Saccharomyces cerevisiae S288C: one gene and its partner. The protein of the gene in region 2 purifies or fractionates together with the protein of the main gene of each other region. This does not show direct contact. Each region holds a gene or a part of one and is shown on either strand. Other genes may lie near its edges.

The links.
Region 1: the proteins of GPM1 (region 2) and HSP10 purify together in Saccharomyces cerevisiae (affinity purification with mass spectrometry; 2 studies listed by BioGRID, with this or other methods). This does not show direct contact.

Annotation. Positions count from the first base shown.
Region 1 is NC_001147.6:367,376-375,040, forward strand, and holds HSP10 (Hsp10p), read right to left. Parts: upstream 3,470-7,665; coding exon 3,149-3,469; downstream 1-3,148. Other genes in the region: YOR019W (uncharacterized protein), read left to right, coding at 752-2,944; MCO10 (Mco10p), read left to right, coding at 4,310-4,582; protein-arginine N-methyltransferase SFM1, read right to left, coding at 5,423-6,064; DDL1 (putative carboxylic ester hydrolase), read right to left, coding at 6,335-7,665. UniProt on the Saccharomyces cerevisiae protein: Eukaryotic CPN10 homolog which is essential for mitochondrial protein biogenesis, together with CPN60. Binds to CPN60 in the presence of Mg-ATP and suppresses the ATPase activity of the latter.
Region 2 is NC_001143.9:160,848-168,966, forward strand, and holds GPM1 (phosphoglycerate mutase GPM1), read right to left. Parts: upstream 3,539-8,119; coding exon 2,795-3,538; downstream 1-2,794. Other genes in the region: tRNA methyltransferase RSM22, read right to left, coding at 1-495; SRP102 (Signal recognition particle receptor subunit beta), read left to right, coding at 754-1,488; NNR2 (NADHX dehydratase), read right to left, coding at 4,070-5,083; MCR1 (cytochrome-b5 reductase), read left to right, coding at 5,697-6,605; DBR1 (RNA lariat debranching enzyme), read right to left, coding at 6,765-7,982. UniProt on the Saccharomyces cerevisiae protein: Interconversion of 3- and 2-phosphoglycerate with 2,3-bisphosphoglycerate as the primer of the reaction. Can also catalyze the reaction of EC 5.4.2.4 (synthase), but with a reduced activity.

The DNA of each region.
Region 1 (7,665 bases), on a different chromosome or scaffold from region 2:
AAATAGTGATTAGAAAAACAGGATTAATCAGTTATACGAACGTATTTTTGAGAGAATATAATGAGAATACAATGAGCTTCAGAAGATCTGTTTTTCTTTACTTGGCACTTCTTCCTCAACAATTATTGGCACTACAAAATTTTCTAATTAAATGTTAAAGATCCCACAGACATCATTCGTATATATCCTCCCATTTTATACGGTTAGCCAACTTTGCGATCCTACGGAAATTGCTATTTTTATAGTCAACTCATTGATCTCGAGCACAGCTGCTCTTTTCTCTCAATGAATTACGTTATATGTTAATCACACAAGCATCAGTTTTTCATCGCAAAAGAAAATATTTAGAGTTCTTGCAATTCAGATGTACCTCAATTAATAACTCAATCACCTCCTATGTTCTTGCTGGTAGTACTGCTTTTGTCTTAATTACTGCTGAATCAGCCTTCTAGAAGACCGTTCTGTTTCAGCCGCTCGCCCCTTTTCAAAGCTTGCGCGGCTGAGTTTTATGAGGGGCGGCTTTTTTGTGAATGGCAATCTACCATTATTAGTAGCAATATGATTTGCAGATAGATACATATATATCCTTCTGGGTTCATGTCTCGTTACCATCCACACTAATGCATAGGACCAGAAAGAAAGGACATCGAATCCAACACGTATTAAAATAAGGACTCCTCATTAAAAAGGCTTTTAATATTCAACTTGCTATAGATCACGCACCCTTTTGGCAAGTCAACCTTAAATTATTATGATTTCTGTTTGCCCACAAAATGACTTGCAAAAATGCTACAGAAGCCTCACATTCGATGTTCCAGGACAACAATTCGAAGAGAGAAATGAACAAAACCTTAAAAAACGGGCCAAAAAGAAAGGCAGTTTCCAACCATCTGTTGCCTTTGACACAGTGCCTTCCACCGCTGGTTATTCTTCTATAGACGACAGCAGGGAAGGATTCAAAGGTGTACCTGTTCCCAACTATTACACGATGGAAGAGTGCTATGACGATGAAACAGACTCTTTTTCGCCAAATTTGCAATATTATTTGAGAGATACATTCCAATCATCACCTTTTCTGAATACTAGAAAAGAGAACAAATCTGAATCCAGTAGTTTTCCAATGAGATCCTCAAAGTTGTTGGAAAAGAATTCTGACATCAAAAAATATTTCTTGGTATCCAAGAATGGAAAAATAGTGAGGAGAGACTATCCAAGCACGCCAGTAATTGTCAACGAAACGTTGATGATAAACAGGTTTGAAAAGAACTGGATAAAGTTATGGCGCCAAAGAAAACTACAAATAAATGAAAGGCTGAATGACAAAAAAAAATGGTTTACTTACCCAGAACTTATCTTCTCTGAAGAGCGTATTAAACCGTTATATAGAGGAGATGATAGTGCACCATGTACAAAAGAACAAAAAAGAAAGCATAAAATACTTCAACAAAAGGTCGGATATCCCAATAACCCTAAGACAATAGTTTGTCACATTAACGGAAAAAAACATACGTGGGTTGCCCTAGACTGGACAGTCTACAAGTTTGCACGAAATCTTGATCACATTGTTGTCATAACTACACTGCCAAAAATGATTTCTAACAGGAAAAAAACTGCAAAAGATGATACAGAATGGGCACCGGGATATCAAAAAGAAGTAATAGATCAAAAATTAAACGACATTTTTGATTATATTTTACAGCTAGTAAAAGTGGTCAAAATATCCGTCAAAATTACTTTAGAAATAATTGTAGGCAAAATTAAAAAAAGTCTGGTAGATGTCATTAATGTCCATACTCCAGATTTCTTAGTTCTTGCTACTTTAAAGCACGAGCGAAATGAGAATCTTATTACATATAAATCCAAAAAGCTGACAGATGTCTTTCCTGTTAGTTATCCGATTCCCACATTTGTTGTTCCCTCGAAACGAATGTATTCGTTCGAACTGAATCTACAAAGAGAAGTAAATGAACATTATGTCTCAAAAAATCATATGAAGCACGAACACACTGACGTTGAGAGCATGAGCAGTTCAATGTTCAAAAAAAATACAATATCAGATATTTCTTCACATATTTCCGTAGATTCGTACGCCGAAGATTTCAAAAGGCAAGGCTACATCAAAAAGCAGTTCAACACCTCTAATGATTCCATTCCAAGAAAATTGACCGGTCTCGCCCAGCATTCAAGAAGGAAGATCACGGGTGATATAGAAAAATTACAAGACGATGAGAAAGATAGAGAATGTACTAAGGAAAAACTTTTGTTGAAGAAAATTGATATCATAATTAGAGAGTCATTGAAGTCTTCTTTAGCGATAGAGACGTTGCCTGGTAAAAATGTATCGCAGTCCAGTCACGGTGACCAAATTTCCAGCTTTAAGAATGCTTTGATAGGCAATGGGTCGAAAAACACAAAGTTTAGAAAATCTTTAATACCATATTCTTCCTCAGAGGAACAAAATACCACAACAACTATTAAACTCAGTAGCTCGCCTACGTCCCAAATCAAGTTTGCAACCTCTGTAAAACACAAAGATGGAAGAGCCGCCCTTGGCAAAGCCAGAAATCTGCCTGATATAAGGCACAGTATTTCCTTCGACAAAGAAAATTCCTTTGATCCATCTGATAAAAGCAGTAGTGTTGATAATAGCATTCCTTTGAGGAAAGTTAAAAGTGCCGGTGCGTTAAGAAAAGTCAAAACTAATGACTCCTCAAGTAGTGCAGGGTCAAAGAAAAGCTCGTCTAGTTTTAGTACTGTGAACACCTTCACTGGGGGTGGAGTTGGGATTTTTAAGGTGTTTAAAAGTGGAAGTTCCTCTGGAAATAAATCATCCAGTAGAAGGAATAGTAGCAGTGGCGATGTTTTTGAAAGTGATGATCGTAACGACAAGAAAAAGAAGAAGAAAAAAAAGAAGAAATCATTGTTCTTATTCGGCAAAATATGAGCGGATAGTTTGTACACATAGTGTCCCTAAAATTCCTATTGATGAATAGATCAATTTTATTAGCAGACAATTGGGGGCAGCAACTGAATAGCAGAAGAAATTTGAGTTCAATTATTTTTTTTTCCTGTCATACATAATGGCCTATTTACAGGTACATACATATAGAGTATGTATATAAAATCTCTGTTGAAGAAGACATCATTCTTAGTCCTTGGCAATCTTAGCCAGGATTTCAGCGTCCCTGAAAAGAATAACTTCATCGTCGTTACCCAATTTAATGGTAGAACCACCAAACTGTGGAATCAAAACTTGGTCACCAACTTTAACTTGAGGAACAACCTTATTACCATTAGCATCAGTAAAGCCCGGGCCTACGGCAACAACTTCAGCTTGGTTTAACTTCTCCACGTTCTTTTCAGGTAAATACAACCCGGATGCTGTCTTTGCTTGTGCCTTGATTCTTTGGACAAGGACACGGTCCATCAATGGAACGATAGATTTAGCAGACTTCAAAAGGGTGGACATTCTTTTTTTTCTGTAGATTCAATATATTTTCGATCAATGGCTTCTATCAGAAATTATTTTAAACCTAGCACATAATAAGTTTGTACTGTATAAGCGTTTTGACTAATTTTATACATAATCAAGCTTCTTTTTCCCATTCCTTCAAGATTCTAGAAATTTCTATCATTGATGACGGGCATTACCCCGTTAATGACCTTCACACGAATGAGAATTGGGCGGCTAATGAGAGAACTTCGAGAGGTGCAATAAGTGAGAAATAACAACTTTAGAACTCATTATGATTGCTTCCAATACCTAATCCTACGTATGTACTAAATTAAAAAGACAGACATGCATTATTGAATATTGACATTTTGAGAGTAACTTTTTATTATGAGTGGCATAATAAGATAATCGACGCAAGCCACAATTTATACAATAAAAAATGCTACCATCGCTGCTACATATGAACGAAAATAATACAACTATCGTTACGGCCTTTGCTGAACCGTAATAAAATAAAATTCCTTGTTACATTTTTTTAGCCAGCTGCCTCAGAAAGAGGCGTTTACTATTTAATGGAGAAAGAAAGCAAAGAAAAATAAAAGGTATTTTCTTTACGGAAAGCCTTCGAGCAATCCAGGAGAAAGTGGACCTTTTTTTCCCAATGAAGAGATCATAGGAGTATGGATTGAAAATATAATAGAACTTCGGGTAACGAGGTGTAATTTCACAGTCCATAATACAGAGCTAACGGTTTAAGGGTAAATAGTTATCTAAGTCAAGTTTTGAAGGAACAAGTAAGAAAGGTCGCTACTGTTTCTAAACATAAGATATACAAAAATAAATATAGCTATCTCAATGGGTGCTGCATACAAAGTATTTGGGAAGACGGTTCAACCTCACGTATTGGCTATATCTACGTTTATCGCTACTGCTGCAGTGGCATCTTACTTTACCACGAAACCAAAAACCAAAAATGAAGGCAAGAATAGTTCTGCCTTGAGCCAACAAAAAAGCGGTGAAAGTTCAAACTCAGATGCTATGGGAAAGGACGATGATGTCGTAAAGAGTATTGAAGGATTTTTAAATGATTTAGAGAAAGATACGAGGCAGGATACGAAAGCCAACTGATTATGTATAAAAATTTCTGAAATGGTGGTGTTCTTCATCGTTCAGTGAAGGGATGCACTGATTTCTATAAACTTGAAGCACTTTTTGAAACTACTGTTCTATAACGAAAATTAGCGTCCTTCTTTCTATTAAGTATGCATTATACATATAATTCAATATATTCTGAATAGCAAAACGGCAATGAAAAAAAAAAAACACTGAAAATACTTGCCTTAGGCCATTGTGCATGATACGAATATGCACAAAACTTGCCTCTTTTTACTTTACGGATCAATGACAACACTCAGGTGTAAGTGATAGTTGATGGCCTTTCAATATTTGAAAGGCTGGAAGATAATTATAAAAAATCGAACTAATTGCCTATGATTGTTTCATTACTGAGACTATTTTTTCACCTCAAGGGGGTCGTCTGAATTAGCAAAGCCATGGCAACTAGTGCAGTGCTTGAAGTCACCAGCTCGTTTGGTTTTAGATGCAAGTAATGTAAAGAAATTAATTTAAATAAAATAATAAAAGTTTCTACTTTTTTTTTCAATTAAAAAGCATAATACAACCAATCAATTTTATCCTATTTGGCCTGACAATGATGATATCATAAAAGTAAACGGTTCCTTGTTTTTATTTTTCTTGCATGCACTTTTCAGAAGTCTTGGTAGCGCTACTAACGCAAAATACGAAATATTCATTGGCTAATAAACTTGATTTTTTCATTGAATGTCGTTTTTGAACTATATACAATATAATTAATGCTACGACCCTAAACTTTTCAACTAACTCTTTGACAAGGAAGCATCATCACTTATTACAACCATAGAATGTTACTTAAAGGACTGTTCTCATCTACATCAACAGATCGTCCAAACTTTGAGCAGAATCCTTCTTGATCAAATCCAACATCCCTTCAGGCAAAATAGGTTTACCTTCTTTATCTAAAACGTATCTAAATGGCATTTCCGTGGCCTCATTTTTATTGAACCTAAATTCAGGGTAGTCAATGAACTTGATGTCTTCAAATGCAATCCTGTCTTTGATAATCAACTGTGTTGTTCTTATGGCAGTATCCGTAGTCATTTGTTTATCACCTAGTCTTCTGCTAATTAAAAGATTCGGATAGGCAGTCTTTAGTTCTTTGGTACGATCTCTTGGAGGATGATCACCCAATATGCCACCAAATACGAAATAGTCGAATTTCGTAGCATCCTCCGGCTGTAAATCGATTGTAGCCCTAGGGTCCAATAGACAGACTCTGCCATCTTTTAACAGTTCCAAATCCTTGAAATCTTCGTTAATGCCCTTCAAATCCTTTGTAGTCCATCTTAAACCAAGTTTTAGTAGCCTTTGAGGGATGTCCTTTTCCGTGGTACTCTCTGGTAACGATGATAAAATCAAGTTTTCAGCTCCTACTTCTCTCAGGATTTGGCTATACTCTAAAATGACCCATTCACTAAACCCTTCCTCCATATGCTCAATAATGTACTTCATCGTATATCTAGAAATAATCTCCACAGCTGTATCAATCTATATTAACAATAGATATGCCCCTCAACATCTAATAAGCAAAGGGCATTGCTCTTTTACAATACTCGATGAGCTTACCGAAAATTTCTAATCCAAAATAACGGAAAAAATTGAAAAGGTGTCAATCCTGTTACCCGCAAGTTGAAGTACGGAAAGAATACAACCTTACACAGTGGAACTATAATAGACAGTAAAGAAAAAAGTTAAAAAAAACTTGTGCCTTGCGTTTACTGATCAACCAGTCTTTCTTTTTACATATATTTCTGATGCATTTTCATGTTTACTTAAAATTTCTTTTAGGATAAACGCTGCAATATCCGGTTCTTCGAAATAAGAAACATGTGATTTTATAGCTGATATAAAATCCACTTCTAGCAGACTTGGAGACATAGCATAATCTAGACGTCCGGTGTAATTCAAACCTGTAAGCATTCTCGTAAGATTTTCTGATAACTTGACCTCTTTTTTTTCTGGAGAAGTTTTTTTGGACTGCAAATTATTTTCATCAGTACCTGGCAAATCTTTCCATATGTTTTCGCCAAATTCCAAAACTTTAGAAGTTAGTCCATAAGCTTCACTACAATGTGGTAAATAAGTTTGTTCGTAATGAGCCATTTCTTTACTAACAAGAGGTTCCATCCTATAAGAAATGGGATCACAGACGTGGTAAACATTATAAATGTCCTTACATTGCGGTCTCTGTACGGTTAATTTTCTCTCCAAGTCATTGGGAAATTCGGGACGGTCACCAATTTTTGTTCTTTGAATTAACTTTAACAATCCAATTGGTGAGCCAATAAAGAACAGGTTGTCTACTTGAAATTCTAATTCATATTTTTTTTGTTTGGATAGAATATCAAATAATATCATACTACCCAACGAATGGCCCACTAAATGGACTTTCCCATCAAACTCTGGATTAAATTCTTTAAAAATCCGATATGTTTTGTTCAATTGAGAGGTTACTTGTTGTAGAATCATATCTTGGTAGTATGGTTCGACATACAACAAAATATCTAGTAGACCGTCAGCCAGTAGCTTCCTCAAGGGTAACACTCCATTTACTGTGACTTGTGACAAAGTCGGTAGGTCAGGATTTTCTATATTTTCCTCCTTAGCATCCGTTTGGAAACTTATCGAGTGCCTCCAGGTGATGGGTAGCACTTGAACGTTACAGTTGCTTTTATAATCAGGTGCTGTGTTTAATGATTGTAGTTTCTCAGAATTATTGTAGATTTTTTTCATATTAGACCTAAGTAGATTTACCGTGTGTGCGAAATTTACGTATTCGTACTTCTTACCCAAAGTCTGACCTATACCGTGAACGCATAGTATCAAGTTATCCACATCTCTTCTGTTACTTCTAATTTGTCTATCGCTTGCGCCCGAATTTTTGCCATCTTCTATTTTGCTACTAGCATTAGCGCCTTGACTGTTATCTGCATTGTTATAGTCTGTTTCCATTTGCTTTTCCAAGCTCTGTGCATCATCTTGATCTTTACTAGCATTACCATTGAACAACTGTAAAAAGTCCGATAAATTGAAGAGGTTTGAAACTTTCTTTT
Region 2 (8,119 bases):
AAGGATTCTTTGAGGTTTAAAATTATCAGGACCTACCCTTTTTTGTAATTCTTTCAGACTTTGGAAAATAGAACCATAATTTTGTAAAAAAATGGACGCTATATGTGCATCCACTTCCATTTTGGTTCTACAGGGACGATGTAATGAATTTGGTTCCTGAATCTCTTTGTAATAATTTGTAGCAACCCTTCTAAGATTATTGGGAATATGTACAGCCATAATATTATTGTTGATTGCTTTGCTTACATCAGGATTCAACTCTAATTGGTCCCGGTACGACTGGCCCTGAAGTGTTTTGGAAAGTAATCTGAGCTCTTTAGAATTAGTTGCTTGAGTGGTGCTAGCGGTTTCATCTCTGTACGACGGAAGAACATTGATTCCTCTTTTATTTGAGTCTATAAAATCCGCCAAATCTAACTTTGGTAAGTTTAAACTTGTGAACTTTGAGCTGAACCGGACATTTTGTGGTAGGATACTGAAGCATCTTTTCATCATTTTACCTAAACTAGACGGGCCACCTTATGTCCTAAAGTGTCAGAGGTTTTGCTGCAATACTGTTCTTAATTTTTCACCATTCACTTTTTTCATCTAGTGGCGGAAAAAAATAAGAGATATGGAAAACAAATATGAACCATCATTAAACTTGAAAAAGATGAGAAGAAAAGAAATAGTTAGGCTTTAAGTGTCTGTATTGATCAATTAATTATTACTTTACCACTGCTGTTTATTAGCATAATAGCACACGGGATCAGAATGCTTAGTAATACACTTATTATTGCCTGTTTATTGGTGATAGGGACAACCATAGCGCTAATAGCAGTGCAAAAGGCATCCTCCAAGACAGGGATCAAGCAAAAAAGTTATCAACCATCTATTATCATTGCAGGTCCTCAAAATTCTGGAAAAACGAGCTTGCTTACGCTGCTAACCACAGATTCAGTAAGACCAACTGTTGTTTCTCAAGAACCGTTATCAGCAGCGGATTACGATGGTTCCGGCGTCACGTTAGTGGACTTCCCAGGCCATGTCAAGTTGCGTTATAAACTCTCAGATTATTTGAAAACAAGAGCCAAATTTGTTAAAGGGTTGATATTTATGGTAGACTCAACAGTTGATCCTAAGAAATTAACAACAACAGCTGAGTTCTTGGTAGACATATTATCAATTACTGAATCTAGTTGCGAAAATGGTATTGATATCTTAATTGCATGCAATAAAAGCGAATTGTTCACTGCAAGACCACCATCAAAGATCAAGGATGCTTTAGAAAGCGAAATTCAAAAGGTTATTGAAAGAAGGAAAAAATCGTTGAACGAGGTTGAAAGAAAAATTAACGAAGAAGATTATGCAGAGAATACACTAGACGTTTTACAGTCTACCGACGGGTTCAAATTTGCAAATTTGGAAGCATCTGTAGTTGCTTTTGAGGGCAGTATTAATAAAAGAAAAATTTCCCAATGGCGCGAATGGATAGATGAAAAACTGTAATATAATTATAATTTATAACTAGATGAACGATAGATAGTTTAAAAACAAGCATTTAACATAGCTCTAGATTCCGTACGCAGAGAAAGACATAGTTGCATCATCGACACATGCAATATCAAAAGTAACTCTTTTTGACTGCTGGTGTAAAAAACACTCACGATGGGGGTCGAACCCATAATCTTCTGATTAGAAGTCAGACGCGTTGCCATTACGCCACGCGAGCTAATATTTGTTTGATGTTCCAGCAGTTATATGATCTAATTATGCGGGAAAATAATTGAAGATAAGTAGTTTGATGTATTTTTATTATAGTATTATATTTTCTGATTTGGTTATAGCAAGCAGCGTTTTTTTTCTTCTTTACCATAATCATTGTACCAGGAAATTTTGTTCATAATTATTGTGTTGATTGTCAATGGTCAAAGGTACAACTAATGAAGATTAAATATGGTGAATAGGAGGCCTGCTAGCCACCGTACATTTAATATGTCCGCGTGTTGGAATAAAAATCAACTATCGTCATCAACTAGTGGTTATACTACCAGTATATTATCTTATATGGTGTCAAATGTGGACATGATGACATAAGGTATGAGAAACTGTCATCGAAGTTAGAGAAAGCTGAAATACAAGGATCAATAATGTAATAGGATAATGAAACATATGAAATGGAATGAGGAACAATCGTGATATTATTATGTAGAAATATCGATTCCTTTTTGGGGATGCCTATATCCTCGAGGAGACACTTCCAGTATATTCTGTATACATAATATAACAGCCTTTATCAACATTGGAATCCCAACAATTATCTCAAAATTCACCAACCTCTCATGGCGCATATTCATCATGCATGTAACTACCACATCAATGTTCAATCATGGACTTTTAACTAATCTTAAGTACTATTCGAACTGCCCATTCAGCTTTTCCCTTTGCAATTGGTGCACTCCTACTTGAACGAATTCGCGGGGTGTACATTAAACTACGATGTAAACATCAAGGTTATTGCTATAACATGTCATGTCACCATTAATTACCACTCATTCCAACATACTGTCCCTGACGAAAACTGTTTATGCGAGCGCAAAATGAACCTATTCAATTAATAATACTCCTCAAATTGCTACCACGACAGGCTGAAAAAAGATGTCGACGAATAATGTAATCGTGTCAAACAAACGTTATCTTGACTATATATAGCTACTTAATTTGAAATAATAAACTATACAAGTCTATATCATTGATATATTCAGTAAGAAAAATGGAGGGAAAAAGAAATCATCAAATCATTCATTCTTCAGACTTATTTCTTACCTTGGTTGGCAACAGCAGCGGCACCAGCAGCGGCAGCTTCTGGGTCCAAGTAGTAAGATGGCTTAGATGGCTTCAAGTTTTCGTCCAATTCGAAGACCAATGGAATACCAGTTGGGATGTTCAACTTAGCAATGTCAGCATCAGAGATACCTTCCAAGTGCTTAACCAAACCTCTCAAGGAGTTACCGTGAGCGGCGATCATGACGGTCTTACCACTCAACAAGTCCTTGGCAATGACATCTTGCCAGTATGGCAACAATCTGTCAATGACCAAAGCCAAAGATTCAGTTTCTGGCAAGACATTTGGGTCAACGTACTTGTATCTTTCATCACCCTTTTGAGAGAATGGAGAAGAAGCGTCGATTGGGGGAGGTGGAACATCGAAGGATCTTCTGTAGGTGTTGAATTTTTCTTCACCGAACTTCTTCAAAGTTTCAGCCTTGTCCTTACCTTGTAAGTCACCGTAATGTCTTTCGTTCAATCTCCAGGATCTGTTGACTGGAATCCATAATCTGTCAGCCTTTTCCAAAGCAATGTTAGCAGTTTGGATAGCTCTGGACAACTTGGAAGTGTACAAGACGTCTGGGTAGACCTTCTTTTCCTTCAACAATTCACCGGCTCTAGCGGCTTCTTGTTGACCCTTGGCAGACAATTTAACATCAACCCAACCGGTGAATAAGTTCTTTTCGTTCCATTCGGATTGACCGTGTCTAACTAAAACTAACTTTGGCATTATTGTAATATGTGTGTTTGTTTGGATTATTAAGAAGAATAATTACAAAAAAAATTACAAAGGAAGGTAATTACAACAGAATTAAGAAAGGACAAGAAGGAGGAAGAGAATCAGTTCATTATTTCTTCTTTGTTATATAACAAACCCAAGTAGCGATTTGGCCATACATTAAAAGTTGAGAACCACCCTCCCTGGCAACAGCCACAACTCGTTACCATTGTTCATCACGATCATGAAACTCGCTGTCAGCTGAAATTTCACCTCAGTGGATCTCTCTTTTTATTCTTCATCGTTCCACTAACCTTTTTCCATCAGCTGGCAGGGAACGGAAAGTGGAATCCCATTTAGCGAGCTTCCTCTTTTCTTCAAGAAAAGACGAAGCTTGTGTGTGGGTGCGCGCGCTAGTATCTTTCCACATTAAGAAATATACCATAAAGGTTACTTAGACATCACTATGGCTATATATATATATATATATATATATATATATATATGTAACTTAGCACCATCGCGCGTGCATCACTGCATGTGTTAACCGAAAAGTTTGGCGAACACTTCACCGACACGGTCATTTAGATCTGTCGTCTGCATTGCACGTCCCTTAGCCTTAAATCCTAGGCGGGAGCATTCTCGTGTAATTGTGCAGCCTGCGTAGCAACTCAACATAGCGTAGTCTACCCAGTTTTTCAAGGGTTTATCGTTAGAAGATTCTCCCTTTTCTTCCTGCTCACAAATCTTAAAGTCATACATTGCACGACTAAATGCAAGCATGCATGATATAGCTCCTGTCAAAGTATCACCTTGGCCTCCTACCCTCTTGTTGCTGCCCTCTTCGCTGTTCGTCAACATGTCTTTTTCACTATCGGGTGAGAATATCTTATCTGACTGACCTTTCTCCACCACAATACAATTCAATTCCTGGGCGATCAAGCTGCCCATCTCGGAGTGAGAGTCTCCCTTCTTGCCTATGGCATCACATAGTCTTTTGAATTCTACCACATTGGGCGTCAAGATCACTCTACCTTTGGGGTAGCTTTTCAGCATTTCTTTGACTTCGCTATCTTGAGTTACTAAGAACAGTCCATCAGCATCAATTACTAACGGGATCTTGCCCTCATGTTTTTCAAGTATATATCTTATGATATCCTTAATGGATTTTAACATTAGGGGGTCCCTACCCAAGCCGGGTCCAATTACCACAACGTGGATTCTATCCAATAAGGAATTGATTTTCTTCCTTTGTTCGTCCATATCAACGTCTAATTTGGTGTTACTCATACGAAGGTATGGATGAACCATTAGGTTTGGGGTGTACGATTTAATGACCGTACCAGCGTTGTATTCGCAGATGACATGTGTCAAATCACAGCCCATCAAGGCTGTAGCATTGGCGCTGAAATACGGTGCCCCTGTATAATCTTCGCATCCTCCAATAATGCAAACTCTCCCACCAGACTGTCCCTTATGAAACTTTGGCAATAAAGGTGGTATACATCTTTTCTGCGCCAACTTTATCAATTCTCTATGAGACAATTCTGCTAACATTTCCAGTGATACGGTAGTGATCGTATTGAACTGGTGTTGCTAATAAAATTTCACCGACGCCTATATACCTATTTACACCTTTACATATATATCTACTAGATCACGTTGCAAGACCCATCACATCGCATCACATCACATCACTCCCTATTCTGCCCTTTACAGCGCAAAGGAGTCGTGTGTGGGTGTGTGCTCCTTTTGACGATCATAAGAGTCCATTTCTAGTATGCAAGCTGGTAACAATAGGTGAATGAATTAGGTTCATTTGCGATGACCTTCAGTATCCCTCCACGCAATGCTAAACTATCCCCCTCATTATGACGCCTATATCGTATAAGGAACTTGTTACCCCTGACAATTCAAACTTCAAAGGTCTAAGACCAAACAAGCGTAGGAACTATCGCTCGGAGTGTTTCTCCGTTTGAAAAAAGAAGAGAAATAAGGGCCCTTGATTGGTGTCTTGTCGAGAGAGGTACGTATATAAGAATGCAGTTTGCTCGCAATGCCCGCTTGTGTTAAGTACTCTTACCTTTTCCCTCAATACTAACGTTTTGAAGCAGCCAAACTAACAATAGTATAACGTATATAGGTTAAAATAATATTCCAAGTCAAAAACATGTTTTCCAGATTATCCAGATCTCACTCAAAAGCATTACCGATTGCTCTAGGTACAGTTGCTATAGCAGCTGCTACCGCATTCTATTTTGCAAACCGTAACCAACATTCCTTTGTCTTCAATGAATCTAATAAAGTGTTCAAAGGTGATGACAAATGGATCGACTTGCCAATATCTAAAATAGAGGAGGAATCCCACGACACCAGAAGGTTTACTTTTAAGCTGCCTACCGAAGACTCAGAAATGGGGTTGGTCCTAGCATCTGCTCTGTTTGCTAAATTTGTCACACCAAAGGGATCCAATGTGGTGAGACCATACACTCCTGTGAGTGATCTTTCCCAGAAGGGTCACTTCCAGCTGGTCGTCAAGCATTATGAAGGTGGTAAAATGACCTCACATTTATTTGGTCTTAAACCAAATGACACCGTTTCTTTCAAGGGTCCTATTATGAAATGGAAGTGGCAACCTAATCAGTTCAAGTCAATCACCTTGTTAGGTGCCGGTACCGGTATCAACCCTCTGTACCAATTAGCTCATCATATAGTTGAAAACCCAAACGACAAGACCAAAGTTAACTTGCTATATGGGAACAAGACTCCTCAGGACATTTTACTAAGGAAGGAACTGGATGCGTTGAAGGAAAAGTATCCTGACAAGTTCAATGTTACTTACTTTGTTGACGACAAGCAAGATGACCAAGACTTTGATGGTGAAATTAGTTTCATCTCCAAAGATTTTATTCAGGAGCATGTTCCAGGTCCAAAGGAAAGCACACATTTGTTTGTCTGCGGTCCCCCACCATTTATGAACGCTTACTCAGGTGAGAAGAAGTCACCTAAGGACCAAGGTGAATTGATCGGTATCTTGAACAATTTGGGCTACTCCAAGGACCAAGTTTTCAAATTTTAAGCATGGAGGAAAGTAATTGATATTTTTTTTAATTTCGGATCGTTCAAATTAGTAAATATATAAAAAATATATATATATTCATGTGTATGACTAAAAATTCTCTCAAGAAGGCTTGGCTTTAAGCTCTAATTCCGTCTGCATTCGTAATAGAAATATCTCTCAAGTCATGAATTTAGAGATAAATGCTTTAGTTTGTCGTACTTCATCTTTCTGAATATCTAAGGTGTATGCAGGAATGGCATAATTTTCCCAATCAATATCCCTTCCTTCCTCTCTATTAGATTGAGACAGTTCTATCCAATTGACGCTATTAAACGGTTTATTGCTTAGGAGATTCTTATTTTTTTGACAAATTACCAAATTATTGATAAATTCAGGATCCCAGAACATACGGTGATTCTCGTCCTTCCACGAAGCATGCGATGTATCCGGTTCTATTTCCAGAATTTCTAACCAACGTCTTCTTGGCAGGCACTTGTCCAACGCCAAGAACCGTGTCTCGCCGTATTTGGAATCATACTCATTCTCTTCTTGGCAATTCATAATACCAGACCTTTCGTCCTCGTCACTGGATAAATCCAAATCTATTTCATTATTGTTTTTTTTTGTCTTTGAAGTTGACTTATTAGGCGGTTCGTGGCTTCTTTTATTATGCTTAATGGAGGCCATGAACCTGACATGCAAATGGGCGCTCAACCACCATTGAGGCCGCAAATCTCTTAGTAGTTGCCAGGTCACTGGGCTGCCTAGTTTTCCCTCTTTAATATCTTGCTCAAAAAAAGGCTTAAGCTTCAACAAGTGCTTAGTATCGCCATGATAAACGACTCCATTGGGCCAATCGTGGCTCAGCATAATATCAATACGATGCTTGATCATAAAAAGAGGAGCAATATCAGAAATTCTTACATGATACAGATTTCTTATGTTAGCTTTCCAATTGTTATTTTCTAGGTCATTCCAATCTGGTCGTTGCTTATTGAAATCCCACTCTTTCCATATCCCGCTCAATGAACCTATCCTTATGCCTTTAAACCATATAACGTTAGAGTATCCCATATAAAAAATGTTCTTTGCTACATAACCACCATGTGGCAGAAGCATTAAATGTCTCATCGATTCATGATTACCGCCAATAAAAATAGTAGGGACTGGGGCTTCAATCTCATTATTGTAGTATGATATGAAATCACCGAGTCTTTGATATTTTGGTGGTATGGCTATTGACTTAAAATCCTGACCATCACGAATACTTTGAAAATCTCCAAGAATAATTAATAGATCGATGGGAGTCTTCGCATGGATTCGTGACACTTCTTTATAAATTTGGTTTAGCTGACCATGACAGCACCCTTGTACAGCAATTCGCAATTTAGTCATAAGCAAAATGATAAATGTCTGCCCATCTTAATTTTTAGTTACATATTTACGTTCGCCATATGACTTTCTCCTGCTCATTTTTTGTGAGGGCCAGAAAAACACACATCTGGCTAATGAGAAAAAAAATTGGAGAACTA